Linked DNA regions of Pelodiscus sinensis. The protein of the gene in region 1 purifies or fractionates together with the protein of each later gene. This does not show direct contact. Links are inferred from orthologs where the notes say so. Each region holds a gene or a part of one and is shown on either strand. Other genes may lie near its edges.

The links.
Region 2: the proteins of EXOSC4 (region 1) and EXOSC10 purify together in Homo sapiens (affinity purification with mass spectrometry; 9 studies listed by BioGRID and IntAct, with this or other methods). This does not show direct contact. The link is inferred for Pelodiscus sinensis from reciprocal best matches to the Homo sapiens genes EXOSC4 and EXOSC10.
Region 3: the proteins of EXOSC4 (region 1) and HBS1L purify together in Homo sapiens (affinity purification with mass spectrometry; 3 studies listed by BioGRID and IntAct, with this or other methods). This does not show direct contact. The link is inferred for Pelodiscus sinensis from reciprocal best matches to the Homo sapiens genes EXOSC4 and HBS1L.

The regions. Positions count from the first base shown.
Region 1 is NW_027465833.1:41,152-51,412, reverse strand, and holds EXOSC4 (exosome complex component RRP41), read left to right. Parts: upstream 1-5,715; 5' UTR 5,716-5,765; coding exon 5,766-5,936; intron 5,937-6,366; coding exon 6,367-6,573; intron 6,574-7,508; coding exon 7,509-7,868; 3' UTR 7,869-8,307; downstream 8,308-10,261. UniProt on the Homo sapiens protein: Non-catalytic component of the RNA exosome complex which has 3'->5' exoribonuclease activity and participates in a multitude of cellular RNA processing and degradation events.
Region 2 is NC_134733.1:11,593,793-11,604,053, reverse strand, and holds the start of EXOSC10 (exosome complex component 10), read right to left. Parts: upstream 5,105-10,261; 5' UTR 5,071-5,104; coding exon 4,918-5,070; intron 4,755-4,917; exon of another isoform or gene 3,460-4,754; coding exon of another isoform or gene 3,355-3,459; intron 2,812-3,354; coding exon 2,675-2,811; intron 2,165-2,674; coding exon 2,041-2,164; intron 197-2,040; coding exon 92-196; intron 1-91. Other genes in the region: serine/threonine-protein kinase mTOR, read right to left, coding at 8,276-8,291, 8,989-9,094, 10,038-10,118. UniProt on the Homo sapiens protein: Catalytic component of the RNA exosome complex which has 3'->5' exoribonuclease activity and participates in a multitude of cellular RNA processing and degradation events.
Region 3 is NC_134713.1:96,328,507-96,338,767, reverse strand, and holds the start of HBS1L (HBS1-like protein), read left to right. Parts: upstream 1-5,302; 5' UTR 5,303-5,417; coding exon 5,418-5,460; intron 5,461-5,849; exon of another isoform or gene 5,850-5,978; intron 5,979-10,261. UniProt on the Homo sapiens protein: GTPase component of the Pelota-HBS1L complex, a complex that recognizes stalled ribosomes and triggers the No-Go Decay (NGD) pathway.

The DNA.
Region 1 (10,261 bases):
TCCTGCCCCAAGCCAGCCAGACTCCCCCACCCCCAGCAGCCCAGCTAAGTCCCTCCAGCCCCACCTCTGCCCACTTTCCTGGGCCAAAGGTGTCTCTTGGGCGCACCTCCCTCCCAGGCCCAGGCTAGTGAGCCTGCCTATTATCTGTGTGATGGGCTGCACATCCTGCCTCAGTGGGCCACACCCCAAATCCCCCATCCCCATCTAAATAGTAATGCAGGGCCCAGGGAAACCGAGGCACACACACAGGGTTACTCCGGGACAGCAGAAGTCACATGCAACACAACAAGCAAACAGAGCGAATACAAGCCCCACCCCATGCTGTATGAAACTGTCCTGTGTACACAAATGTGCATAACTCGGGGATGCATTGGACAAAACAGCTCATGTAACCGATCAATGTTAATGTCAGTCTGCTGGCTCTGTGTGTCTTATTCTGGTGTACGTGTGGTTCTCGTACTAACATCACAACTGCGAGGTGTGAAAGCAAGTGGCAACTCAGCTCCAGAAACCTTGGGTCCTTGGAAACAGCCTTGTTTTGTCTCAAGCTAGATCAAGGATGTTAAGTAATAGTTCATTTACTAGTCGAGTAGTGTCATGTTACTGGATTGTGAGGGGAGCGGCCAGGTCACTGGTACACCCATGGGGTGGGGGTGTTTGCCCCAAAAAGTGATACAAAGGGGGCCATGCGAGGCGTCAAATGAAAGCTCATCTTCTACTGATTCCATAGATGCTATTCATGTGATTGTATAATGTCTGTGTGTGATGTTATAAGCATGGACTTTGTGTGGATACCGAACGTTTCTCTGTATGTGGCTGAGCAATGGGCAAAGCAGCTCAGCCTAGGGACCTGCTAATGAGCAAGTCTCCGTGGAACAATAGCCCTCCACAGGCCAAGGACACACCCCAAGAATGCTCAACTCTTCATCCTAGATGCAGCATTGCAGGGATCAACGAGCTGGAAAGAACTGTGGACCCGTCTGCACAGAGGATGTGCACCAAGGACTTTTAAGCCAGCAGTTATAACATCTCTGCTAGAGCCTGCATCGAGAACTGGGAGATTCGATGCATGGAATGTAGGATACTTTAACAACCTCACTCTCGGGCTTTTCTTTCTCTTAGTAATAAACCTTTAGGGTGCATCTAGACTGGCAAGATTTTGCACAAAATCATGCCAGTCTAGACGCAGCCTTAGATTTTAGATTCTAAAGGATTGGCTCAGCTTCTAGACTGGCTGTGTCTAGACTGGCATGAGTTTGCGCAAATACCTTTAATGGAAAAGTTTTTCCATTAAAAGTATTTGCGCAAGAGAGCGTCTACACTGGTATGTGCCTTTGCGCAAAAGATTTGCTTTTGCGCAAAAGCATCCGTGCTAGTGTAGACGCTCTCTTGCGCAAGAAAGTTCTGATGGCCATTTTAGCCATCGGGCTTTCTTGCACAAGAAATTAATGTGGCTGTCTACACTGGCCTCTTACGCAAGAGGGCTTATCCCTGAGCAGGAGCATCGGAGTATTTGCACAAGAACCACTGATTTTATACATTACAAAGTCAGTGTTCTTGCGCAAATACTTGTGGCCAGTGTAGCCGCACCCAGAATGTAAATTGACCAGGGATCTGCGGCTGGTTTCTTGGAACTGGACAGAACTTGTTTGGGGTAGGTGGGATTGGGTCCTAAACCCCCTCACCTGTGAATGAGGGCGGGGCCATCTAGGGCATGGATATTGCTGGGGTATTGGAGGGGTTTTGTTCGTGAGGCTTCTGACTGGCCAGGCAAGCAACTGAAGTGCTCTATGCAACTGGTTTGGGAAGGTCTCCAGGCTGGGGGCAATAGAGGGCCCCAAATTTGAGCAATTCGCCCTGAGCGGATGCCCTCAGCGGTGCCCAGACACGGCCTGGTCCGTCACAAGTAGTCAATGGAATTTCCTTAACTACTTGACTAGTTGATAGGAACTTCCGGATTCCTCCTTTGAAATGTACAGGAGGCTCCACCCCCGGGACCTCTTGTATATGTCAGAGGCCTGTGGAATCCGTGTGCAGCCTATGGCCAGTGGGAGTCCTGTTGACTCTGGGCTGCCCAGGGGTGCCAGCTTTGAAATGTACAAGAGTCCCCAGCAGGGGATGCAGAGTCCTGAGCTGGCCCCGGCTCCATGCGCCACTGCCACTTTGAAATGCTACGGGGAGCGGGGGTCAGCTGACCCCGGGCGCTGCTCTTTGAAGCACCCGCCTCCCACCCTTTGCTGCCAGGCTACGGCTACATTGGCAAGATTTTGCACAAATACTTTTAATGCAAGAGTTCTTGTGCAAGAGCGTGTCTACGCTGGCACGTGCCTTTGCACAAGAGACGTGCTTTTGTGCAAGAGCATCCGTGCCAGTGCCGACGCTCTCGTCCGCAAGAACGCTCCAGGGGCCGTTTCAGCCACCGGGCTTCCTGCCCCAAGGAATTCCTGTTGCCTCCTGCGCCAGAGCAGCGGGGCCGGGGCCGGATCCCTGAGCGGGGCCGGGGCCGGATCCCTGAGCGGGGCAGGGGCCTGATCCCTGAGCGGGGCAGGGGCCTGATCCCTGAGCGGGGCCGGGGCCTGATCCCTGAGCGGGGGCAGGGGCCTGATCCCTGAGCGGGGCCGGGGCCTGATCCCTGAGCGGGGGCAGGGGCCGGATCCCTGAGCGGGGCAGGGGCCTGATCCCTGAGCGGGGGCAGGGGCCTGATCCCTGAGCGGGGGCAGGGGCCTGATCCCTGAGCGGGGCAGGGGCCGGATCCCTGAGCGGGGCAGGGGCCTGATCCCTGAGCGGGGGCAGGGGCCGGATCCCTGAGCGGGGGCAGGGGCCGGATCCCTGAGCGGGGCCGGGGCCTGATCCCTGAGCGGGGCCGGGGCCTGATCCCTGAGCGGGGCAGGGGCCGGATCCCTGAGCGGGGCAGGGGCCGGATCCCTGAGCGGGGCAGGGGCCGGATCCCTGAGCGGGGGCAGGGGCCGGATCCCTGAGCGGGGGCAGGGGCCGGATCCCTGAGCGGGGGCAGGGGCCGGATCCCTGAGCGGGGCCGGGGCCGGATCCCTGAGCGGGGCCGGGGCCGGATCCCTGAGCGGGGCCGGGGCCGGATCCCTGAGCGGGGCAGGGGCCTGATCCCTGAGCGGGGGCAGGGGCCTGATCCCTGAGCGGGGCAGGGGCCTGATCCCTGAGCGGGGGCAGGGGCCGGATCCCTGAGCGGGGCCGGGGCCGGATCCCTGAGCGGGGCCGGGGCCGGATCCCTGAGCGGGGCCGGGGCCTGATCCCTGAGCGGGGCCGGGGCCTGATCCCTGAGCGGGGCCGGGGCCTGATCCCTGAGCGGGGCAGGGGCCGGATCCCTGAGCGGGGGCAGGGGCCGGATCCCTGAGCGGGGCAGGGGCCGGATCCCTGAGCGGGGGCAGGGGCCGGATCCCTGAGCGGGGCAGGGGCCGGATCCCTGAGCGGGGCCGGGGCCTGATCCCTGAGCGGGGCCGGGGCCGGATCCCTGAGCGGGGGCAGGGGCCGGATCCCTGAGCGGGGGCAGGGGCCGGATCCCTGAGCGGGGCAGGGGCCGGATCCCTGAGCGGGGCCGGGGCCGGATCCCTGAGCGGGGGCAGGGGCCTGATCCCTGAGCGGGGCAGGGGCCTGATCCCTGAGCGGGGGCAGGGGCCGGATCCCTGAGCGGGGCAGGGGCCTGATCCCTGAGCGGGGGCAGGGGCCTGATCCCTGAGCGGGGCAGGGGCCGGATCCCTGAGCGGGGGCAGGGGCCGGATCCCTGAGCGGGGCCGGGGCCTGATCCCTGAGCGGGGGCAGGGGCCGGATCCCTGAGCGGGGCAGGGCTTGATCCCTGAGCGGGGGCAGGGGCCGGATCCCTGAGCGGGGCCGGGGCCTGATCCCTGAGCGGGGGCAGGGGCCGGATCCCTGAGCGGGGCAGGGGCCTGATCCCTGAGCGGGGGCAGGGGCCGGATCCCTGAGCGGGGCAGGGGCCTGATCCCTGAGCGGGGGCAGGGGCCTGATCCCTGAGCGGGGCCGGGGCCTGATCCCTGAGCGGGGGCAGGGGCCGGATCCCTGAGCGGGGCAGGGCTTGATCCCTGAGCGGGGGCAGGGGCCGGATCCCTGAGCGGGGCCGGGGCCTGATCCCTGAGCGGGGGCAGGGGCCGGATCCCTGAGCGGGGGCAGGGGCCTGATCCCTGAGCGGGGGCAGGGGCCTGATCCCTGAGCGGGGCAGGGGCCTGATCCCTTAGCGGGGGCAGGGGCCGGATCCCTGAGCGGGGCAGGGGCCTGATCCCTGAGCGGGGGCAGGGGCCTGATCCCTGAGCGGGGCAGGGGCCGGATCCCTGAGCGGGGGCAGGGGCCGGATCCCTGAGCGGGGCAGGGGCCTGATCCCTGAGCGGGGGCAGGGGCCGGATCCCTGAGCGGGGCAGGGGCCTGATCCCTGAGCGGGGGCAGGGGCCTGATCCCTGAGCGGGGCCGGGGCCTGATCCCTGAGCGGGGGCAGGGGCCGGATCCCTGAGCGGGGCAGGGCTTGATCCCTGAGCGGGGGCAGGGGCCGGATCCCTGAGCGGGGCCGGGGCCTGATCCCTGAGCGGGGGCAGGGGCCGGATCCCTGAGCGGGGGCAGGGGCCTGATCCCTGAGCGGGGGCAGGGGCCTGATCCCTGAGCGGGGCAGGGGCCTGATCCCTTAGCGGGGGCAGGGGCCGGATCCCTGAGCGGGGCAGGGGCCTGATCCCTGAGCGGGGGCAGGGGCCTGATCCCTGAGCGGGGCAGGGGCCGGATCCCTGAGCGGGGGCAGGGGCCGGATCCCTGAGCGGGGCAGGGGCCTGATCCCTGAGCGGGGGCAGGGGCCTGATCCCTGAGCGGGGCAGGGGCCGGATCCCTGAGCGGGGCAGGGGCCTGATCCCTGAGCGGGGGCAGGGGCCTGATCCCTGAGCGGGGCAGGGGCCGGATCCCTGAGCGGGGCAGGGGCCGGATCCCTGAGCGGGGGCAGGGGCCGGATCCCTGAGCGGGGCAGGGCTTGATCCCTGAGCGGGGGCAGGGCCGCCCTGCGCGAGGAGCCCGGTCCGAGTTCCCGCGCTGGGGCTCCCGCCAGCGCCCACTCGGGCTGAACCTGCCCGTGCAGCCACCCCCCCCCCGTCTGACTGGGGCACCGGCCCCTCCCCCCCCTGCGCGGGGAAACTGAGGCACCAGCAGGCAGGGCCGGGTGGGAAGGCGGAGCGGCACAGACCGGAACACTCGCCCGCCCGCCTGACGGGGCCAGCCGCGAAGGGGGGCGGGAAGGGGCGGGGCCGGGGGCAGGGCAGGGCGCGGGGCAGGCCGGGAAGGGGCGGGGCCGGGGGCCGGGCGCGGGGCAGGCCGGGAAGGGGGCGGGGGCGGGCGCGGGGCAGGCCGGGAAGGGGACGGGCGCGGGGCCGGCCGGGAAGGGGGCGGGGGCGGGCGCGGGGCAGGCCGGGAAGGGGCGGTGCGGGGCCGGGGGCGGTGCAGGCCGGGAAGGGGGCGGGGCCGGGCGCGGGGCAGGCCGGGAAGGGGGCGGTGCGGGGTCGGGCGCGGGGCAGGCCGGGAAGGGGGCGGTGCGGGGCCGGGGGCGGGGCAGGCCGGGAAGGGGGCGGGGCTAGGCGCGGGGCAGGCCGGGAAGGGGGCGGGGCCGGGCGCCGGGCCGGCCGGGAAGGGGGCGGGGCCGGGCGCGGGGCCGGCCGGGAAGGGGCGGAGCCGGGGCCGGGCGCGGGGCAGGCCGGGAAGGGGGCGGGGCCGGGCGCGGGGCAGGCCGGGAAGGGGGCGGGGCCGGGGCCATGGCGGGGCTGGAGCTGCTGTCGGACCAGGGCTACCGCGTGGACGGGCGCCGGGCCGGGGAGCTGCGCAAGGTGCGCGCGCGCATGGGGGTCTTCGCGCAGGCCGACGGCTCCGCCTACATCGAGCAGGGCAACACCAAGGCGCTGGCCGTCGTGTACGGGCCGCACGAGGTGAGCCGGGCCCCCGCCGGAAGCGGCCCCTCCCCCCCCGGGCCTCCCCGCCGGAAGCGGCCCCTCCCCCCGTGTCCCCTCCCCCGCCGGAAGCGGCCCCTGCCCCCCGCGGGCCCCCCCGCCGGAAGCGGCCCCTGCCCCCCGCGACCCCCCGCCGGAAGCGGCCCCCCTTCGGAAACGGGCCCTCCCCCCGCGGGCCCCCCCCTTCGGAAACGGGCCCTCCCCTCGCGGGCTCCTCCCGCCGGAAGCGGCCCCTCCCCCCAGCCCCTTCCTTGCGGAGCCCCGCAGCTCTGCCCGGCGGGGGCGGGGGCGGGGTGACCCCCCCGCGAGCCGCCTCCCCGCCGGGCTTTGGCCCGTGTTCGGGACGAGCGAGTCCGGCCGGGAGCCCCCCCCCGCCCGGCGCTGCAGCCCGCGTGTCCCGCCGTTGCAGATGCGCGGCGCCCGCAGCAAGGCGCTGCACGACCGGGCGCTGGTGAACTGCCAGTACAGCATGGCCACCTTCAGCACGGGCGAGCGCAAGCGCCGGCCCCACGGCGACCGCAAGTCCAGCGAGATGACCCTGCACCTCAAGCAGACCTTCGAGGCGGCCATCCTCACGCGGCTCTACCCCCGCTCCCAGATCGACATCTACGTGCAGGTAGGGGTCACCTAGCGCCCCCCGGCCAGAGGCCTGAACCCCCCCCCGGCCAGGGGCCTGAACCCCCCCCGGCCAGGGGCCTGAACCCCCCCCGGCCAGGGGCCTGTACCCGTAACCCCCCGGCCAGGGGCCTGTACCCGCAACCCCCCGGCCAGGGGCCTGTACCCGCACCCCCCCCACCCCCCGGCCAGGGGCCTGTACCCGCACCCCCCCCACCCCCCGGCCAGGGGCCTGAACCCCCCCCGGCCAGGGGCCTGTACCCGCACCCCCCCCCCCCCCCGGCCAGGGGCCTGCACCCGCACCCCCCCCCCCCGGCCAGGGGCCTGTACCCGCACCCCCCCCCCCCCCCCCGGCCAGGGGCCTGTACCCGCACCCCCCCCCCCCCCCCCGAGCCATGGGCCTGTAGCCGTGGGCTGCTGGCTCTGTGGTTTACCCAGCTCCCCATACGGAGCTGGCAGCTTCCTGGTTTCTGCTGTGCCTGACCCCAGTTGCCTGGAGTAGCTCCCTGGAGTATGGGGGAAGGGGTTTCAAGCCTTGCTCAGTGCTGTGTGGGCCTCACCATGGGGTGACCATGGGACATGAGGAATCATCTGGGCCTTCAGCCAGCTGAGCCATTGGGGAAGGAGGTGGTGACCTGTGTGGGGCGCTTGCTGGCTCCTGCACTAGTGTGGGGAGGTTGTTTGTGTAGCATTCCGGAAGGGATCAGCCATGTGCGTTCTGCTCACTCCCCCACTGGTTCCCTGGGCTGCCTAGACAGCAGTGCCAGGTGAAGGGGCGTCTGCCCAGGGCTTATGTTGTTTCACAAGCCAGTGATGCTGCTTTCTAAGGAGGGTTGTGGGCATGAAAGGTCTAGTCCTGAGCTTTGTGGGGCCAGATGCAGAGTCGCTCAGGTGCAGCCTCCTCTGCTCCCTTTGCTGAGTGCTCTGTCTCCCCAGATCCTGCAGGCAGACGGTGGGAATTACTGTGCTTGTGTGAACGCGGCCACGCTGGCCACCATAGACGCAGGCATCCCCATGCGAGACTATGTGTGCGCCAGCTCTGCCGGCTTCATCGAGGACACGCCCCTGGCTGACCTCAACTACGTGGAGGAGGCAGCTGGGGGCCCCCAAGTGGCTCTGGCCCTGCTGCCTAAGTCGGACCAGATCGCCCTGCTGGAGATGAACTCGCGGCTGCACGAGGACCACCTGGAACAGGTCATCGAGGCTGCCAGCAAGGCCTGCAAGGATGTCTACGCTGTGCTGGACCAGGTGGTGCGTGAGCACGTGCACGAGGTCACCACGCTGCTGGGGGAGTGAGCGCACAGGCCTGTGTGCCTAGAACCAGTGCTGCACGTGACTGTGGGTGGGGACAGGGAGCGCTGCCGTGGCCGCCGCAGGGATCGATTCAGCCAAAGCCCATGCCAACACTGCCCCTTTGTCCAGCTGCTTTGTTCTCCGATGTGCACACTGGGCCCAGGTTGAGCACCTCTGCTGGGCGCTAATATCACATTGGTACATGTGAATGCCCCGCGGCGTCTGTCAAGCCTGGTGTTCCTCGCTGGGTGATGGGCCCTGACATGGCTTCCTGGATCTGTAGCCATGGCTGCTGACTCCTGGGCTGTTGGCCTCTCCCATTCTCCTAGGCGCTGCGAGAGGCTGGGGCGCGTGGCCCGGTGGATAGCTGCTCGATCCGTAGATATCAGTGTCTGTTCCTTTGTAGGGGACTGCTGTAAATAAAACATTGTTTTGGTGGAAATTGTATTGTGTGGGCTACCCCCTGGCTGAGTGCAGGGCAGCAGAGAACCAGTGCTGCTGAAGATACGGCCCATGCGAAGTCTGGCGCGTCCCCAGTGCTGGAGGAGAGATGGGGGCTCTGCTGTACCCGTCTCTATTGTGGCTTGGTCCCTGCCTATGACAGCTCCTAGGAAGACTCCAGCTCACACAGGATTAATCGGGGAACCTCCCCTCCCAGACGTCCCCTCTGCTTGCTCACGCTGCTCCCGGGGCTGGTAGGACGGCTCCCTAGGCACCACAGCCTGCCTGCTGTCACCATCACTCCCTGGCCTGCCAGGCTTCGTGCCAGCAAAGCTGCCAGTGCTTGCTGATTTAGAGGAGATGCTTCTGGTGCAAGGCCAGTGGCCTAAGCTGGTCTGGGAAAGCCATTCCCAGGTGACCAGTAGCCTAAGCCCCGAGCTTCCCCAGCACCCATCTGCCCAGAGGAGCAAGGCCAGGGGAAATCCTGATCCAGAGAGGTCGCTCAAAAGCTTCTCTTCCACCAGCAGCAGCGGGTCTGACATGAGAGATTTCCTCTTCCATCTTCTCTTTGCGAGACCTGAAGTATCGATGCCCCAGCTGCTGGCACCCTTTAATACGGCGTTCCTCTGGAAATGGCTGCTAGGTGGTACCAGGCCGAGCCGTCATGATCCCTCACTGTACCATGAGCAGGGTGAGCCTCTGCCTGGTTCCCTGCCCTTGGGCATGGCAGCGCTAAAAGCATTCAGGCAGGTCATGGGGACTGGCGTTTCCATCCTGGCACAGCCTGGCTGGTGCAGTAGCTTAGGGGGGAACTTACCCACCACGCTCTCAGTACATGGAACAGGCTGCAGGGCAGGGAGCTTAGCCCCACTTTGGGCATCCTGGGGGGGACAGACCCGCCACCACAATTTGTCACTTGAGGCCCATGCCTCCTCGCATCAGTTACCACCCACGCTTGCCTTCCTGTGGGGTCCCCTCTCCACAGTGAGAGCAACCTGGGCCCTGCAGCGGACGCTTCACACCAGCTGGGCATGGGGGGGGGCTGAGCAGTGGGGCTCCCTGTCCATTGGTCTGGCCCAACTCTGGCTTTATTCTTGGAGCACTAGCAGCTTGGGGGGCAAGAGCTGTCTGCGTTCTGATTGGTCCTCTGCCTCACCCAGTGGGGGCCAGGCACATGGTGGGATCTTGGCTGCTGCTTCAAAGCTAACAATGGGGAGCCTAGGCACGCGGTGAGTAGCTGGGCTGGTCCCGCCTGGCCTCTAGCCTTGGGAAGGGAGGGAGGGAGGGCTAGTGGTTACAAGGGTGGGAGTGTGAGGGGACAGGGTGGGAGCCAGGACTCAGGGTGTGCTCAGTGGTGGGCCTGTTTGTAATGAGACTTATCGTTATTTGTACGGTAACATCGGGGGGGCCTGGTCAGGCTCAGGACCATAGTGTGTTTAGCACCGCCTGGCCTGCTCCTGTGGTGTCTTGGCTGAAGGTCCTTTCCTCTCGCTGGCTGCGGCCCCTCTCGCAGTGGGGCCAAGAAGCCTGTGCCCCTTGGCCAAGGGATGTGGGGACAGGAAGCACCGACAGGTGGCTGGGTGGGAGTGCGCACCACAGGTGTGAGCCCTCCCCCCCACATGCCCCTCCCTGCACACACCCCGCTCCCTGGGTGCACCCTGCCCCCTGCCTGCACCCCCACCCTCCTCCCTGCACACACCCCGCCCCCTCCCTGCACACACCCCGCCCCCTGCCTGCACCCCCACCTTCCTCCCTGCACACACCCCGCCTCCTCCCTGCACACACCCCGCCCCCTGCCTGCACCCCCACCTTCCTCCCTGCACACACCCTGCCCCCTGCCTGCACCCCCACCTTCCTCCCTGCACACACCCCGCCTCCTCCCTGCACACACCCCGCCCCCTGCCTGCACCCCCACCTTCCTCCCTGCACACACCCTGCCCCCTGCCTGCACCCCC
Region 2 (10,261 bases), on another chromosome or scaffold:
AGAGGCTACTGAACTCCTAACTACCATCACAACTCAAAGTCTAAATAAAAAGCTCAAATTAATTAAAATCAATTTACTGTAGAAGTTTCACCTTGCGGTTCCAACTGGAAATGATCGTCTTTGGGACTTGCATCCCTGCAGGAAGGATAGGTTGCTGGTTCTTGTTCACTCCTGCTGCTTCATCTAGTAAAATACCCTGAAATTTGGGAAAAGAAGTATAAGCAAAACTGTATGAAACATCTAGTAGTTGGCAGTCTGCCCTGCCTGAAAGAAGAGAAATGTGCAGCTGTCGCCATGTTCATCTCCTTGGAATTTTGTAATGGGCAAGAGTGGCCAAAGGCTAAATATGAAATCCTAATGTTAGAGACTGGGAGAAGCAATTGCCAAAGAATCAAAGTTGAATTTCTTCAGAGATATTTATGTGCTGATCACCCTACTTCCATACTTTCCTCTCGTATCTTACTCTACACTCTGCCCGGTTTTGAGATAGGCTAATACAGAGTTAATCTTGCATCTAATTTGCTTTTCAAAACATGATAAGTAAACAGCTCTCAGCCATGCTGAGAAATTAACCATTATTATAATAGAGGTGGCACCATTATTATTATTATTATAGTGGCTGAGGCACTGGTCTGGGAGTCAGGAACCCGCCCCCCCTTTTATATGATAGCAGCATCTAGTAACCCCAACTGATATCAGGCACATATCATTCTAGGCACAGCATAGGCAAATCATAAGAGCGTCCTTGACCCAAAAAGCTGATAGTTTAAATAGATAAAAGGTTGTAAGGAAAGCTGAGGCCCACAAAAGTAATATGATTTGCTCGAGGTCACACCACACGTTAATGGCAATGCCAGAAATAGACTTGGAGTGCTGGATTCCCAGCCCCAGATCACATGGCATTTCTTAAGCATGTTTCACACTCACTTTGCACAAGCATAAAGATTGCATGAGGTTCCAGACAGCAGAGAATAAAATTGTGGGAGGCTACAGTACCATAGCCGAATGTGCCATTACTGAGGTCTAGGAAGCGCTGATTTAGATCTCTGGTTTAAGAGACTTTACTTTTGAATGCAAGTGGCACTGTGGACTCAGCCACATGGTCAATTTAATCAGCTACCAATCTGTTCTTCTTTATGGTTGGGGTAACTATTCCAGCTCCCTTGCTCTCTTGGAGTAGTTATGGAACATCTATTCTGGCAGATGTACACAAGCAGCCTTCTCTCTCGTTTGCAATGGAAATGTTTGTTTGACTATGTCTGGTGTTTAGGAACAGTTGCAGCCCTGATTTCTATTCTTTCTGCTGTGTGACCTAGAGCAGTGGTCCCCAACGTGGTGCCTGAGGGTGCCATGGCGCCCGTCAGGCCATTTCTGTGCACCCGCTGAGTGATGGGGCCAGCCCCGGCCCTGGGCACGTGGTGCATGGGCAGTGCCAGCCCCTGGGCACATGGCTCAGGAGTGGCACTTGCCCCAGGAGTGCGGCGCATGGATGGTGCTGGCACTGGGCACGCGGCGTATGGGCGGCCCCGGCCCCATAGTGTGCAGCTTTGGGTGGCCCCGCCCCCGGGCCTCCGGCACGGCCCCAAAAGGTTGGGGACCACTGACCTAGAGAAATCACGTGTTCTCTCTGTGTCTCTGCTTTCCCTTCCACCATTTGCCTTTCTTATTTAGACAGTAAGTTTTCCAGCCAAGGGGCAGTTTAGCTGTATGTACAGCACATAATACAATGGGTCCCAATATCTATTGGTGTCCTTTGGTGCTACTGTCATACAAGTAAGCATTCTTGCTCAGTTCCACCCTACTGCTGATTAGAAATGTAGAAAAAAAAATGATAGCTCAGAAAAATAACTTCCCATTGGATTTAATTTTTTTTTAAACTAGAGATATCTAAAAGAGTTACTAGAAGAGGAAAAAAAACGTTAAAAATGGAAGTCTGAGAATGAGGAACAAAGTGTAATTACTAAATATTGCCATTCCAAATCCTATAGAAAGCAGGATCTACTGAATCATTACAAGATTAAAAAAAGAAAGTTCTCTCACCACTTTTTCAAGAATTACATCATTGGAATCGACCAGCAAATCAAATTTATCTTCCAGCTCTGTTGCTTTGTTATGATCTTTCACGTGACTCCGACAACCATGATATTGCATCACCTTGCTCATACTAATAAAACAATAGTTCAGTTACTCTTTAAATGACATTAAAAGCAGGTATTCTGAAAACTGGTGTTATTTGTTAAGATCCTTTCTGAGCTCTGGCTACTCCGAGACTTACAAAATCAGACACAGACTCCTTAGATACTGTTGTAAGAACTTTGAAAATGAGAAGCTATGAGTAAGTACTAAGTATTGCTATTAATTTCTTTACTGGGTCTATGGAACTTAGATTGGGTCTTCTGGTTAAAAAGTCACCTTTCCATCAGCCCATACCTACTCAGTGGCGCACCTAAATTGTTACAGTTACTTTACAGAGGTAAAATGAATGACTCCATTTTTATTGTTACCATTTAAATTTCATGAATCAGAAAAGCAGCTGACGTTTTTAAAAAGCAACAGAAAAATTGTAATAAAAATGCTCATATATTGTTTTATTTTGAAATTTGCAAAGAAGAGACTTCTCTGTTCCCTAACACAGATTTTCACCACTGGCATAAGAAAGCTAAAAAGTCCTTACCAGTGAAGCAGCCTATCACCTTGTGTTTCACAGTATGCCCGGAATCCAGGAAAGCTGCGATAGAAGTCATATTCATCTCCAGGCTGAGGTAGCCCATTAGATGCTTTAGTTGCAGCGACCACTGTGCCAAGCGCATGCTGTTAAAAAGCATCACACCAAGAAAATATAATTCCACAATGTATTTTCATTTTTTGATGATCTTGCCAGATGAACACCTTCCTCGCACTTACATTACTATTACAATCTCATTCCTCGCACTTACATTACTATTCCTAAACCAAGCCACAACTAGGCCTTTTTAACCAAGAGTGTTTACAACTATTTCATCCTGACTTAATTAAACTAATACTAAAAAAATAAAAGAAAAACCTTACACCGAAGATATTTTGATTTAATAAAAATATGGGTATAATGGCTACAACTTCAGAACTAGGAAGTGCTGTCTCTAAGGTGGGGGGGGATTTCTCAAATGTCATTGCACTGTGAACCCTTTCTGAACTGAAACCTGAATCCACCCAAGTCCCACCACCATAGGTTTTGGCCCTGGATGGTAGGGCTCAGGGCTGAAGCAAGTCTAAGCCAACCCTGGTGACCACATTAAAATGGGCTTGTGACCCATAGTTTGAGAACCATTGCTCTAGGCCATATCTAGACTATAAAATTAAATCAATCTAACTTACACTGGTACACAACTGCTGGAATAATTGCATCGCTTGTGCATGTTTACACTTTGCTCCTTGTGTTACTGGTGCATTTGTATAGATTTTACTGTCACTGTGAAGCATTTAGGGAAGCTAGTAACAGTCTATACAATAATGTCATGTGTACACTGTTACTGAATCAATGTAACTACATTAATTTTGATTCTATGCTACTAAGTGGTGAAATTATTGGGGCAGTTAAGTTGGCAGGAGTGAAAGTCTGGACACTTTCATGGTTAGGTCAATGTAAGATGCCTTGCATCAATCTAAACTCTGTTGTGTAGACCTTGTGTAGCTCAGATTTTGGTCTATAAGGTGCATGGGTGAGGGAACATGTAGGAATTAAGTTTGTAGTGATGGCAACACTATGGTTTGTAAATCAATTTGTAGAACACTCTGTCAAGCTTCAGTTAACAATTCCTTTTAAAAGTTCATCTATATGCTAAAATTAAGGTCTAACGGTTGAACACATTTTGAAAGCCATTCTTGCTGTACCATAGTGATAATTTAAGAATACAGAGAATCCCACCACACCAGTGCTGCCAAATTTGTGGGTTTCTTCTGAATTTTTCCTGTTAAGACAAATAACTAAATTTAAGGATGCTTTCAGCACCACAGCCCATTCATGAGCTACTACAGGTGTTTATGTCCTATTTATCTCACCACCATGATTCTAGTTCTCCAGACTCCCCTGCAGGGAATGCCTTAGCTCAGTGTTTGAGAAAGGCTGCGGAGCCCCAGGGCTCTGCAAGGTTGACAAACTGGAAACATCGATAGGTACAACACATACAATCAGTGGACCGCTGGGGCTCCGCATAAATTTTTACACATGTAAAGGGCTCCGGAGCCGAAGACGTTTGAGAACCGCTGCCGTGGCTAATTTGAAAGGTTATGCGGACAACTTCCCAGGAATGGGAAGACAGTGCGATATTCGGAAAACAGGAGACTGCAGCCGGGGCCCACACAGACAACAGGCCCGCGTGCACGACGCTAGTCCCAGGGCCCGCGGCTCGCACCGCTTCATTTAACAGGCCTGCAAACGTGACACAAGTCAGGCCAGTGGGCTGCAGGGGCCCCCCTCTCCCAGGGCAAAAGGAGCTAAGGCGGCGGCGCCCAGACACCGGGAGGCCGTATCGGAGAGGGAGGGGCGGGCAGACAGGAGCTGTGGGGGGGGGGGGGGGGTAAGGTCCGTCACAGCTCCAGAGGCTGCTGCAGCAGCGGGGCCGAACCCCCACGCAGTCGCCCCAGGCTCCCCCTGCCTCCTCCGCGCAGCCGCGATGGGTGGCCCAGGCGCAGCGGCGGGCTCAGGGTCACTGCTCCCGGCCCCGCTTCCCCTCAGAGCGAGGGCCCCGGGGCGGCAGGGCCATCCTCCATGACCCGGCAAAGAGAATGCTGGGAAATCCAGTGCAGGCAGCTTCCCCTCAGGCTTCAGCATCAGCAGGGTGGGGGGAGGGAAGGAACTACAGTTCCCGGCATGCCCCGCTGCAGGGTTTGCCGCAGAGCAGGCTGGGAGTAGTAGTCTGCAGCGACTCCTTCACGCACCTTGACGAAGGAGTCAGCATCCCTGAACCCCGGTAGAACGGTATCTGGGCAGCCGCCCGGCGGCTCCTCCGTGCTGCCGCCACTCCCCGCGTCTATTAGCTGGCTCGTCTTAACGGCTGCGCTGCGACTCCCGCCTCCGCCGGCAGCCGCCATCTTCCGCGCGGTCCCACGTGACGCGTCAATGGCTTAGTCTCGCGATAACTGAACCGGAAAAAGGGTGGGGGGAGTGTGTATGGTGGAAGTGTTGCTAGACGCATGCGCATTGAGGTGTGGGCGGCAGACTTGCAGGGTCCCTGCCTAAGAGCGGTAGCGATGCAGCCGTGTTAGTCTGGTCTAGAGCGAGCGAGGGTCCTGGAGCGCCCCTTGCGGCGTGTTCCGGGGGCGCTCAGCCCAGCACTGGCTATACGCCACCCTCCCCCCCATTTGAGCTCAGCCACTCTCGGCCTAAGCCAAAGCCGCTGTGACCTGGGGAGTAGGGCAGGTGCCCGTCTGGCTGAGCTCCAGGAGCCCCTACTGCCGGCTGCCCCACCTGCGGCCCTCGGGCAGCGAGCCTGTCCCGTACCACGCCTCCCTCTGGGCAGCAGCTTGGCTGCACCTTGGAGGGTGTCCACGCTGCTCCCCATCGGGAGGGCTTAAGCCCTTTCTGTAAATGGACATTTCCTGCGACAACCCGGTCTAATCTTGACCAGGCTGCAGCCTGACATAAGGGCACGCGGGTGAGCTGGCTTTGATTCCTGGAGTTTTCTGTACAGGTTAGATGCGTGGCACACACTTCAGTCTACCAGCAGATGGAGACTACACCTCAGCTTCTTACCAGTGACATTCCTCCACCAGTATACAATCTTGGGGAGCTGGTTCTCTCAAAGCAGGAATGATGAAGATTAAAACAGGTGAAACTTTTTTTCCCTATCCCTGTCCAGACACTTGGACTGTGTCTAGACTGCATCCCTTTTCCGTAAAAGGGATGCAAATTAGACACATCGCAATTGCAAATGAAGGGGGGATTTAAATGTTTAGATGCCATATTCCTTATTTTAATAGGAATAAGGGATCTTTCTGAAAAGGCTTTATTTTCCGAAAGATCCGTGTCTAGACTGGTGCTTTTTTCCGGCAAAGCTCTGAGCCGGAAAAAAGCGGCAGTTATGTTTATGCAAATGAAGCGGGGGAGATTTAAATTTACGGAAAAGGGATGCAGTCTAGCCACAGCCTTGGTATTTCCCATATATTTCTGTGGCTAGTGTAGTATTGGATACAAAATGATAATGGATCTTTCTAACCTTAGCATCTTCGAATCTGTATCAATAGAAAATGTTTGCTAAGAAGAAACAGCATAACCACCATCCCTTCCCCATATACACCACAATGATAAGATTAAAATTCTATGTACTTGGTCTCTCAGAATCAGTTTCTTGTAACGAGAAAAAAATGCCCCAAAAGCTAGAATAAAGAAACTTTATTCTTACCAAATTACAGTCCACTTAAGAACATTGTTTTAGTTTCCAGCAAGAGAAGGATATTGGCTTTTGAGAGGAGCTGTTATAGAAAGACCTGGAGAATAGGATGGGTGCAGAAGATCACCAATGCGGAATTATGTAGGAAGATATAGCTGAAAGAGAACCTACTGCAGAAAGTTATACAACGGAAGTTACAGCTATTCGGGCAAATCTGCAGAATGAACGACGAGCGAAAAGTTAAGACCCCGGTATTCAGCATAATGGATGGTCCGAATAGGAGAGGCAGACCCCACAGAGAATGGGTAGATTATATAGTAAAATGGTGCGGAGCTAGTCTACAGAAGCTAAGCCACTCCGCACTGGACAGGGAAAGATGGAAGGAAATAGTGAGGGAGGCATTGGACACCAACGGGCACTGAGCCCATGGTTATTGTTGATGATGAAACGCAACTAAGTTTATTAACAGTTAAACTCCTTTGATAAAGGTACCCCAAGTTTTTTAGTGATACCCCATACTCTGCCAACCGTGTTTGTGGCTCCTGTAGGTTTCTGCTATGGGTTCTCAAACTTCATTGCACTCCAATCTCCTTCTGACAATAAAAATTACTGCACAACCCTAGGAGAAAGGACCAAAATCTGATCCCCATTGCCCCAGGTCCATAGGCCAAAAACAAAGCCCTAGGGCTTCAGCCCCAGAGAGGACACCTGTTACTGCAGCTGCACCACCCAGGGCTAAAGTCCTTATAAGCTTTGTCCCTGGGCAGTGGGCCTCAGGCTTTGTTTTCGGCCCCAGCAAGTCTTCATGTCAGGCCTGGTGACCCCATTAAACCAGGTTCAGGACCCATAGTTTGAGAACCGCTGTCTAATGTAATACCTTTGTGTCTCAGTTGTGCTCTCCACAAGAAATGCTTTGGAATAACCAAAATCCAGTCAATCTTTTAACATTTTGGTGTATTTTATTGACACAAAAATATTCAAATACAACATGGCATCTAAACATGGCTACGCTTTTGTATTTTGTGCATTTTAATATGTTTTATTAATAAATCATAACTTTATTTACCTTCACCCTCATGTTTAATATGCATTATTCTTCATTTCCAGGTATGACCAGTTCTCCCTTCTGCTTTTTGTGCTGAGTATTCAGTTTTCCCTAATTATTTCCCAGCACTGCTTTTCAGTCTGCCAGTGTGGGAAGTTCCCAAGTGATATTCTGATTTACCTTGCCATCTACCCTCTTTCTTTGAGACATTCTGCTCTGACTGGCTCAGAGGCTTTGACCCTGGATCTATCTCTATATTTCACATCTGAAATGTGCTAGATAAATCACCCCTGGAGTCAGACACACATCTTTCAACTACAATCCCTTCCCTCTGTTTTTGGTGAGAGTACAGAGTTTTGGGAAAGGTGAGATAATGGGGTAATACTGACAAAAAACCTCCTCCTTCTTCTTGCTCTCTACCTTCCAGCTCTGTCCCACACTTAAATGTGCATTCTCGCATGAGGGCACTGAGTTCACTGCAGCCACGCCAAAAGGACTGACCTGGGAATGATTCAGCTGCAAATATTTTAGTATAGTTACATTGTAAGTCAAGTCAAAACCCGTATTTTGTTATTTGTAATGGATCACCAGTTCCTCAAAGACCAAGTGAACCAGGTATTTGTGGTCTAGTCAGTCTTCATTGTTCTGGAAACCCAAATCAAGTCTTGTGTTTCATATAACTTGTGTTTTTCAACAGCAGCTATGAATTGGCTTAAACCAACATTTAATATACAATAACTCTTAATTTACATTTTGAAATATATGACAGGCTGTATTTCAGTCCAAGATTTCAGTTTGTAGAAGAATATATCTGGAGTGCAAAAGCCTCCAAGAAAGGCTGAGGATACTCTGGAATCTTCTGTTACCAAAAAGGACACCTAAAGATGACAAATGTAATACTTTAAGTGCAGTCTTAGCCATTGCTCCATAAAAACAAAGACTATGTTAAAAAGAACTTAGGTCCCCAATGTCCAGGAACCTTTCTAAAATAACAAGGACACTGAAAATGGGATATGAGACAGAAAATGCTTCTTAATCCCTAACATTCCTAATGTCTGTAATCCCCCCCAAATCGCCCACCAGGATTCATAATTTGCATACAATTTACAGTTAAATCTCAGAAAGATGAAGGCATTGTGAAAGTGTGCTTGTTGACATTAGACTCTGTAATTTCCCTCCTATAACTAGCAATTGGTGATCTACATACAATAGGAACATCTTGTTTCAAATGATTAAAAATTCTGAGTTGATCATCATTTAAATAAGCCCCTTTTCTTTAGTAGCAGACTGCTTGCCTGCTTACGGGCAGTGCCCGCGGTGATGATTCTAAATCAAATTTCCATTTTGCTAGATTTAACAAATCTAACTAATTTGCATTTTGTTAGATTTAATATAATGGTCACAAAAGTTTACAAGCTTACATACAATATCTCCCCAGCCATCCTCAGAATGATTATTGAGATAAACCTAATAATATTTTACTTGACTGTTCTCCATTCCATAAACTCATACCACTATTTATTTCAGAGAAATGGGAGAGAAGATTTTGAAAGGACAGTTTAAAGACAGACTCACCATCCAATGTAGCACTGGCAGAGATTCTCATGCGAAGTAGCTTGCTTAATAAGCAATTCTACTTGCGTGGGTACATCCAGAGTTTCATCGTGAGAGAAGTCTCGGCCTTTACAATTAAAGTGAAAAAAAAAAAAACCATTAAAGAAGGATGTAATCCAAATTACATAGTTTAGTTTGGGTGGCAAGTTGTGGAGCGATATGAAGATGACCCTCTCTCCTCTTATAAATATATATTTGTCACAGAATTATTCAAAGATGACACCTCAAAATCCATACTGAATCTATTTTGAAACCTTTAGAACACTAGTGTTTTCGATGATCCATCACAGCAGCTTCTCTATCCCCACCTTCTTCAAAATAAAAAAGTAATACTGTTCTCCACTGTACTTATTATAAATTCCTAGTAGAAGGAATCAACTGCCTAGCTACATTAAGTACCTAATTCAAGTAGTTCTTACATATGTCATTAAGAACGGTCTCATCTAAATTTTTCCAGTTGCAAAGCCAATAAAAGGAAGCCAGTTGCTGGAAATTTGATTTCAAATCATCACCTAAAAGATGAACCTGTCATATCTGAGCCACATTAAATAAAATTACATCTACATTTTCCAAAAACGATTGTTTTCCAGAGTACAAATTATAAAGCCCACATATCTTACACTGATCTGCAGACAGGGTGACAAGCAAAGTATAAAAATAGCTCTGTCCAAGTAAGAAACAGAATAATTTGAAATAAAATTGATGAACTAGCATAAAACTGAAATATGCTAGTGCCAGGCAAGCATTTAAACTTGAACATAATTCTAATGTCTGTAGTATCTGTTTACACTAGATTTTCCCATCCATGTACAAAATAAAGTTATGTGCACCAAGGCATGTGCAGATGGGCACTGCTAATAGAAACACAAGCTGCTGGCTGTAGAAGCTGTGGGCCCTCTGCTCATCAGCTGGACAGCATTGGAATCACCCTTGGGCAGCCGCCCAAGCACTCAGGAAACATTGGTCTGTATTACTTTAGCAATATTTTATTTTAGAAAACATACACTTACCAGTGAGTTTATCTCGAACCCTGTTAATAATTTGAATAGCTTTCTTATTGAGAGCCTCTGGCTTCACTAAGCCATCCCCAACTAGAAGACAGAAGTGAAAACAACATTTAGACTTTATTTGCTCAATAATGATCAAAACAATGTGATGTAGTTACTTTTTTGCCACAAATAGTTGACACAGACCTATGTAAATTTTGTATTAGGTTTTAGAGAAGACACTTACA
Region 3 (10,261 bases), on another chromosome or scaffold:
TTCATCCAAATATGCACTACTTTACATTTGTCAGCACTGAATTTAATTTGCCATCATGTTGCCAATTCATCAATTTAGTTAGGTCCCTCTAAAGTTAGTCTAGTTTTGACTAATCTAAATATTTTTGTTTTATATGCAACTTTTGCTATTCTGTAGCTCATCCTATTTTCCAGATCATGAATACAACAGTGATCACAATACGCAAACTTTTGATGCCCATTGTAAATTCTTTTACTGTGTTGCAAAAATGATTTATTCCCATTCTGTTTTTGTCTTCTAGCCAGTTTCTAAGCTAGATAGTGTTCTTTTAAATAAAGATATGCATGCATTTAATGAGTACAGATCTTTTCAGAAGTTCAGATAATTTATCAGTCAAATACATATTTAGTGACTGTCACGTTACTGGAATTTGAGGGAAGCAGCCGGATCATGGCTGTACCCATAGGTGGGGGTGCTGGCCCCAACAATGATAGAGAAGGGGGCCATGTGGGGTATTGAATGGGAGCTTGTTGTTTTCTGATCCTGTGTATGCTATTTTTGTGAGTGTATAATGTCTGTGTGAGCAGATAGGAATCTGTAATCTGTGTGGAAGCTGAATATTTCTCTGAATGTGATTAAGCATTGCTATGGACAGGCTGAGTAGCGAAGCCCTGTGGAACAATGGCACTTGATGGGCCAAGGACACACCTAAAGCATGAGGGCCGAGACCTAAGAGCTGCCAGCAGAGAGAGGCTGAGGACCAGAAGACCGACTGAGACCAGAAGAGGCCAGGAAGGGGGTATAAAGAGGCCATGTGGTCAATGCCATTTTGGCTTGAGCTCAGCACTTCATCCCAGAGGCAGCATTGCAGGGATTGAAGGGCCTGAAAGACCTGTGGACCCATCCTGATCTTAGGATGCGCAATAAGAACTTTTAAACCAGCAGCTGCAACATCTCTGCTAGAGCCTGCACCGAGAACTGGGAGATTCGGCGCATGTAACGTACTGTACTTTAATAACCTTACTCTCATGCTTTTCTTTCTTGTGTTAATAAACCTTTAGTTGTTAGATGCTAAAGGATTGGCCCAGTGTGATTTGTGGGTAAGGTCCAAGGGATAAATTGGCCACAGATCTGTGGCTGGTTTCCTGGAACCGGACAGAACTTGTTCGGGGTAGGTGGGATTGGGTGCTAGGACCCCCCACCTGTGTATGAGGTCTGGGGCCATCTGGGGCACGGTTATTGCTGGGGTGTCGGAGGGGTTTTGCTCGTGAGGCTTCAGGCAGGCTGCTGAAGCGCTCTGTGGGACTGGTTTGTGGCCTGTGTGGAGAGGTCACCAGTCGGGGGGCTGTAAGGAGCCCCGGATTCGAGCAATTCACCCTGAGCGGACGCCCTCAGCTGTGCCCAGACACGGCCCGGTCTGACACAGTGACATTGACACTCTATTTTAAAAGTTAACCCAAAAGTGACACACTATGTCACCTGGAATTAACTTTCTCCAAACCATGCTCTGTTTAGTTGTAGTTTTAAACGAAGTAGTGTTTAAGTACAATCTCTGTATAGAGTATCACTTGAACTATCTTACACATTATCAAGATAGCTTTCCCAATTATCACCTCTAATACCATTAACTCACAAACATCCCACTCTCCCCACCTCTAATATCGTCAATTCACAGACACTTACCTTCCTTCCTCCCCCCGCCCTGCATTCCCCTCCTGTTCTGAAATGTGATTTGTCCTTTTCATATGTGTTCATTTTTTTTAATTGTATCCTTTGGTATATATGGTTGTGACTATTTTCTTCCACTATTTGATCTGAGGAAGTGGGTCTGGCCCACGAAAGCTCATCTTGTTAGTCTTTAAAGTGCTACATTGTCCTGCATTTTGCTTCAGCTACCCCAGACTAACACGGCTACATTTCTATCACTATTCTGTATAGAGTATTGATACCTAAAGCTTTTTAGACAGTTACGAAGCTGAGCAACGTGTATATGATTGGGGACTGTTCTCCCACTACAAGCAAGTAGAAAAAGGCAGCCGCTACAGTATTTCATAAAATTGTTCCTGTTCAGAAAACTAAAGGCCTTGTTAGCCATTTAAGCACAGTTGACTTACTGAATAATCTTGCTGTGAATCTTCTGAGGACTGGGAATTATATAAAGTGAATAGAAAAGAGGTTCTTTTGAAAATGTGTTATGAGATTCCCAGAAGACATTTTACTGGTCAAAAAGGGTATGTCTATGTTGCATTCCTCCTTCAAGAGAGGAATGCAAATGCAGACAAACGAAATTGGAAATGAAGCGTAAATTTTAATTTCCCGCGCATCATTTGCATAATTGCAGCCAGCCGTTTTTCCGAAATATCATATTACGAGGGGAAAAAGTGGTTATTTCGAAAAGAAACCCTTCCTTTGAAATAACCCTTAAACCTCATTTTTAAAGAGTAAGGATTATTTTGAAGGAAGGATTTCTTTTAGAAATAACCCAGTTTTTTTCTTGAAATACAGTATTTTGGAAAAGTGGCAGGCTGCAATTATGCAAATGAAGCATGGGAAATTCAAATCCACGCTTCATTTGCAGTTTTGTTTGTCTGCATTTGCATTCCTCTCTCAAAGGAGGAATGTAATGTAAACATACTGAAAGAGAACTACACAAAAAAAAATCACTATCCAGAAGCTTTATTCCTTAAAATGTGTAAATAGTTTTGAAATGTTTCATTAAATGATAATTAATTTTTTTTTAAATGTACTAACACAGGAAGCTGGAAGACAGATGATTACTGATGGGTTTTGGATACTTCTAGGTCAACAGTTCAGATCAGCCACTTGATGATAACCAAAGTTATTACTATCTGCTGGTTGTTTAGCCTCTGAGAAATAGATTGGTTGTCTCAATTCAGTTCCTAGTACATATATCTTTACATAAGAAATATCTTTTTAAGGCAGTCTCAGTGAAGGGAGTAGGGTCTGAATGATTATAGAGAATGAACTTTTTCACCTCAAGAGGCACTATCTTTAGGCTAAAGATGTTGAAGGCAGATAGGCAGGATACTGTCAGGCTGTGTCTACATTGGCAAGATTTTCCGCAAAAGCAGCTGCTTTTGTGCAAAATCTTGCCACCTGTCTACACTGGCTGCGAGTACTTGCGCAAGAACACTGACGTTCTAATGTCTAAAATCAGTGTTTCTTGCGCAAATACTCTGATGCTCCCGCTCAGGGATAAGCCCTCTTGTGCAACTGTTCTTGCTCAAGAGGCCAGTGTAGACAGGCAACGTTAATTTCTTGTGCAAGAAAGCCCAATGGCTAAAATGGCCGTTGGAGCTTTTTTGCGCAAGAGAGCATCAACACTGGCACCAGGGCCGGCCCGAGCCCTTTTGGTGCCCTCAGCCCAGGTGCGCGGTGCCGCTCCTGGGTGCAGGGCGCATGCGCATACCGGCCACGGCCTCTGGCAGGGCCCGACAGCCATGGGAGGAAGGGCGCTGCTGGCTGGTGCCGTGGGGATGCAGGCAGGTCAGTGCTGTGGGAGCCGGGCGCGCAACTCCTGATGGCAGCTGTAAGGGACACCATCAAGTGCCTCTCATCGGTTGGCGCCCTGGGAGCTGCCCGGCTCGCCCATGCCTCCGTCCAACTGACTGGCACGGATGCTTTTGCGCAAAAGCACATCTCTTGCACAAAGGCACATGCCAATGTAGACGCTCTGTTGCGCAAATACTTTAATGCAAAAACTCCTGCGTTATAAGTATTTGCGCAAAACCTTGCCAATGTAGACGTAGCCTCATAGTGCTCAAATTGCTGCTACAGTTTAAATCTCTTTAGTGTGGTACCCTTAGGTCCCGATTGGTGTTAAACTAGAAAATTTGTCATATCATGGGGGGGGGGGGGGTTCAATATTGTCTAGCAGCATTGCCAACACTTCCACTGCTTACAGGGCTCTTAGAAGACATTTAGGGGTAAATTAGTGCTAAATAACAACACAGAACACTGAGAGCCAGGACTGGTGGGTGAAAACTTTATGGGACCGTGGGAAAGTTGGCTACTCACGTAAGTGGACGTCAGCAAGATTTTACTAATGTTGCCAGACCAGAGTGTGCAGGACTAGAGAAATTCAACTTGTATCACATTGCACATGACCGGTGGCTTGACAATCTTCATTTGTATTCTTTGCTGTTAGGCGGACACCTTTAGCTTGGTCTACACCAGGGGTCTCCAAACTACGGCCCGGGGGCCGGATGCGGCCCGCGAGGCCCTCTCATCCGGCCCGTGGAGACCTTTTTGGATTCAAAGGCAGAAGAAGTGAGATTGTTTCAAAACCCATTTGAAGCAGATGTGGCCAGTTGCCCAGATGAACTGCAGCTGGAAGTCATTGAGTTGCAAGCAAATGACCTCCTTAGGGACAAGTTCAAAATAGGACTGGTGGGTTTTTACCAGTTTTTGCCCAAGGAAGACTTTCCTAATGTCAAAACTTTTGCATCAATGTACCTTTCAATCTTTGGAACAACATACCTGTGTGAACAAACATTTTCAAGAATGAAATACGTGAAGAACAATTTGAGAACAAACTTGTCCGATGATAATCTCAGGTCACTGTTGATGTTAGGGACAACAAATCTAAAGCCAGAAATGTCTGCTATTTTGGCATCCAGGAAACAATTTCACCATTCACACTAATACAGGTGTTCATGTGTAGTGTATGAATGTGTTATTAAATAATAACTGAATAAAATAATATTAAATAAATAATTAAAAACAACATCCATGTTTTGATTGTTTTTTATTTGGACCTCAAGTGTGCAGTCGGCCCCGAACTGCTGTTTGATAGTTAATGCGGCCCTCGGGCTGAAAAGTTTGGAGACCCCTGGTCTACACCAAAGTTAGGCGGACACAGATACCTAACTCAGCAATGTGACACACCTACGTCCTTGAACAATGCCATTCATCTGATTGTCAGTATGAATGCCAGTGAGGTACTGGGGGGGGCACTGATGACAAGGGTGTCAGGGCAGCGGCACAGCTGGGCCAGTCTGGGGAGGATGGGCATGGCCAGTGTGTGCAGAAGGAAGCGCGGGCGGGACGCCGTGGCCAGAGCCTGGTTACTGGGGTGCGGCGCAGGCAGGGGCCCGGGGCAGGGCGTGGCTGGGACTGGCGCGTGGGGAGGCGCAGAGAGCGCGGCGCTGGTGAGGGGGTGACCGGGCTGGGGAGGGACCGCGGGGCAGGGCGGGAGGCGCGAGCGCTGACGCGACATTGGGCAGGGGAAAACTCGCACTCGGCGCACCACCTTGGTTGGCCCGACCGGCGGCGCATGCGCAGACACTAAAGGAGCGCGGGGGGGGGGGTGTTTTGCGCCTGCGCACAGCGATTCGGAGCGGCCAGGCGGAGACCAAGATGGCGGCGTAAGGCTGCGGCCACCAGCGCCACCGAGTGCGAGCGACGCCGCCGCCGCCATGTCGCGGCACAGGAACGTCCGAGGCTATAACTACGACGAAGGTAGCGAGACGCCTCCGCCTTTCCTGTCCCCGGTCTCTCCGAGTAGCTGCCCCTCGGTCCGGCCTGGCAGCCCCAGCGGCCTGAACGCGTCTCCTGGGGCGGACCCGCGTCCCCGCCAGGCCATGGGCCGGGCCCCAGGGGGCAGCAGCGTGTGTGAGGGGGTTAGGCCCTGGGGAGGAGGAGCTGGGATGGGGGCTTACTGGGCCCCATGGGAGGGGGCTGTTTCCCTTCCAGTGCCCAGGCAGGGCTTGTTTACGAAGCGCCGTGCGAGGCGCGTGGGTTTAACTCCTTCCCTTGCAGCTCACCCATCCCCACTCTGCGCGGGGCTTTCACAGCGCGGCGGCGGCGGGGGGGGATACTAAAGAAGTAGAAAAGCATTTTAAAAGCACCTCATCTGGCAGGGGTTGACGAGGTGGGGGGGGAAGGACCTTACTGCTTTCTGCTCTCTTGGAAACTGGCTGCGTCCCCAGCGGGCAGCGCTCCCTTCCCACCTACTGCGGACAAGCTTGTTTCCCCCCAGCCCGGCGGCTGGGCGCTGCGTGTTCCGCGTGTTTCCCGGCACCGCGCGTGACGTCACAACCACCCGACCCATCCATCCAGGCGGCCTGTTGCTCTTGGGCAGGCAGGAAAAGAGGGGATTTGTAGGGCCGGTAATAGAGCAGCTGGTTTCTAGACACTTTGTCTTAAGATGGAAATGTTTAAGGCTCTGTGTATCTTATGTTTGCCTTCGTATAACTATATTATTACCAGCTCCTGTGTCAGAGTAGCTTAGCTGGATATACTAGCGTTCTTTGATATTCTGTCTCATTTACTTAGGAGCTCACTTATCAGTGATTTGAAATATTGATTTTGCACCTCTCTTTAACCAGGGTGTGTAGCTCCTCATAGTAGTTTAGGTCTAATTTGTATCAGTTTATCTTCCAGTTGTGTTATTACAAGAAACTCAGGTCACTAAGATCTTTTCCTTATTTTTCACCAGCGTAGCTATAGTAATCCAGTCACCTCAATGTAGATATATTGCACTCATGTAAAATGGGGTTTGTACTATTAGGGTTTATTAAACTACACGAATGAAAGCAACACTTCATTAATCCAACATCTACATTAGGGCTACGTCTACACTGGCATGATTTTCCGGAAATGCTTTTAACGGAAAAGTTTTCTGTTAAAAGCATTTTCGGAAAAGTGCATCTAGATTGGCAGGACGCTTTTCTGCAAAAGCACTTTTTGCGGAAAAGCATCCGTGGCCAATCTAGATGTGGTTTTCCGCAAAAAAGCTCCGATCGCCGTTTTCGCGATTGGGGCTTTTTTGCGGAAAACAAATCTCTGCTGTCTACACTGGCCCTTTTGCGCAAAAGTTTTTCGGAAAAAGACTTTTGCACGAACGGGAGCAGCATAGTATTTCCGCAAAAGCACTGACAATCTTACATGAGATCATCAGTGCTTTTCCGGAAATTCAAGCGGCCAGTGTAGACAGCTGGCAAGTTTTTCCGCAAAAGCAGATGGTTTTGTGGAAAAACTTGCCAGTCTAGACACAGCCTAGGAGTTTGGCTCACTGGTGAAAATTAACCTAAAATAGACATGGGTGTTCTCTGCTTGATTATTTCACCCTTTGAAAATTAAATCAATTTCACCTATTCTGTATTAGGGTTAAGATCTACAAATGTCCCTACTTATAAGTGGTTTTCAGTTTCCTGTTAAAAACTTGGGTCCCTATCCTTCAAACACAAATGAGTAGTTCTGCACATGATTAATCCTTTTCATTCAGACTACACTGCTTATGCAGCTAAAGTTATTTGCATAAGTGTTTGCTGGATTGGAGCCTTTAATTGCTATCTGTGTATAATGGCCATCTTATGTACACCAGAAACTTAGTCTACAATTCATGTTGTATCTAAATTTGTTCTGTGTGTATGTATATGTCTGTACACATAAGTATAAATATACATCCAGAGAGACATACATTATAGAGACATGTTGCCTGTACCATAAAGTTTTGGTATGAGTTTATGTTTTCGGTTGATGATGCAATTTTCTATGTTTGTATCAGTAAATAAAATGAAATCACTTCTAGTGCTGGACAGGGCATATCAGATCTTGCATTCCTACAGCAAAGGTGGTTAGTTCACTGAAATTAGGAACAAGAAAGACCATTTACACATCTAATATGTATTTCCTCGTTTTTGTCCAAAATTTTGCTGACGTTAATCTCACTGCGTTAGCTCTGCCAGGAATAGCCATGGTGGAGTGTTAGTGCATATCTAATGATGTCATGGCTAAATCACAGGCAGTCACTTGTGCTTTCACTAGCTTGCTCATCATTGTACCTCTGCTATAGCTATGCTGACTTGGGAAAAATTGGGAAAACAAAAGGAGAAAATGCATCTCCTTCAGTGAAAAATCAAACCATGCTTGTACTGGTATGATTCCATATGAGTTATTGTGGGTAGTTTTTCTTTTTAATAATTTTGCTGTTCTTCCTCTATCCTCTACAATTAAAACTCATAAATACAAAAGGAGGGGGAATAATTTTTCAGTGGCTAAAATGGATATAGTAATAATTGCCACACTTATTTATAAATACATCTGGCAATGTCCAAAGAGAAGATCAATACTATTTTTGGGGGTGTAATACAATTTTGTTTTAGGTATGGATATTAAATTTTGATTAATCAGCTAATCGAGTAGTTGATGGAATTTCCATCGACTACTTGATTAGTTGATAAAGGGTGGAGGGTGCTTGCTATCCCACTGTGCCTCGTCCTTTGAAATATACAAGAGCGGCCCACGACTCTTGTACATTTCAAAGGGATAGGTGCAGTGGAATGTAAGTGACTAGTTGACTATCGGATAAGCAGAAGTGTATCGGATAGTTGACTAGTGATGCGACTAGTTGCTTCTCCTCATCCCCCCCTTGCTGCCTCTATCAGAGAGAGGTGGCAAGGGGGCGAGGAGCAGAGCCAATGCTGAGGGGAGCCAGCTTAAAAGCCGGTTTCCCCCCAGCACAATCGATGCGGGTGGCAGAGGAGGTAGAGGCACAGTTGGAAACCGCGCGAGTGGTGTCTGAAGCAGTCTTCACTTGTGCCACTTTTGCATTTCTGCTTTTCAAAAGCAGAAGCTCTGCAGGGAGCACAGGGCCAGTGGGGGAGTCCCTGCTGGTACCCCGCTCTCTGCAGTGCTTCCTTCTGAAATGTACAAGAGCCCCACAGTGGCTTTTGTACATTTCAAAGGCTCAGGAGCTGCAGGGATCTCTGGGCCAGTCCCCTGCTGACCCTGCACTCCCTGCGGGACTTCCTCTTTTGAACTGTAGCAAGAGCCCAGCAGGAAAAATCGATGGAAATCCCATTGACTATTCAATTAGTTAATCTAAATTTAACATCCCTAGTGCAGCATTTGGGACCCCACGCAAGTGGGACTGCTTTGGTCCCTGCTTGCAATGTTTCTCCCGCTGCTTCTCTGCCTCCCCTACCCTCCCACGGGGACGGTGCTGGGGGGAACAGATTTTAAGCTGACTCCTCCCAGCACTAGCTCCTGCTCTGCCCCCTCAATGGGTGCCTCTGATAAAGAGGCAGGAAGAAAGGGGTAGGAAGCAACTAGTTGAGTAGTGACTCAGTTACCCAATAAGCCTAGACTTATTGGGTTGTCGACTAGTCACTTACATCCCTAGTTTTAGATTTTGTATTTATGTAAAAATTGATATACCTGTTGTTTATCTGGGAATGATAGGAACACAAGAATTACCATAAGAGATCATACCAGTGATCCATCTGTCTAGTTCAGTATCTTGCCTTTAGCAGCCTGTATCCAGTATCGAATACTTCAAAAGAAGATGTGGGCAATTCCAAGGTAGATAACCAGCAAATAACAAGTTTATAAGAGAAGCTTCTTAATACCTGGTTTATGCTGTGAAGCATGACAATTCATACCTTTTCTATTTTTCTCTATTTAATGTAACTATGTTACATTCTCTATAGAGATAATGTGCTTATTATACATGTATACGTCTGAATCCTGCTAAACTCACATCCTTGATATTTTTTCAATGAGTTCCACTGGTTAATTAGTATGCTTAATTTAAAAAAAATTAATTTTTTTGACTTTCAAGGTCAGTGAATGTGCTTTGATTTTTCATTATGAAAGAGATAAATAGAGCATACAATTTATCAGCACTATACTATTTATCATGTTTTAATCTTTATATAGCCCATTTATTGTCTCCTGTTAAAAGGAAAAAGTCCCAGTCTTTTCAAGCTCTCATTATACAGAAGTCTTCCAGGCCTCTGGTTGGTCCCTTCCCTCCTCTTCACCCCTCCCCCGCTGCTTTGGTTCTTCTTTCAACCTATTCTGTTTCTGCTGTACCCTGAGATGTGGCCAGGACTGAAGGCAGTATTTCAGACAAGAGAGTACCATTGGACTACAGCCTACAGCACGTGCCGTAAGTGGCACACGAGCTGATTTTCTGTGGCATGTGGGGTGGGAGCTCAGCCCCGCTAGCCTCAGGATTGCCGTGCAGCTACAGGCTGGAACACCAGCTCCGGCTTCCTGCTGTGGGAGGAAGAGGGGCAGGATGGGAGAGGTGCACTGCATAGGGTCCAGGGCCTGGGCGTGCAGCTACCGGGAACTATGGGATTAATCTTGCTCCCAGTGCTTCAGGCTCTGCCTCTTGCAGTGGGAGGGTGGGATTGGGGCTGCTCTACAGATCTGAGCTAGGTAGCTGGTCACACATGGAGTGCAGGGCCACTCCCTGTGGGGTGTGCACGGCGCTGCTCCCCGTAGGGTGTGTGCGGGGTGCGGGGAGCCC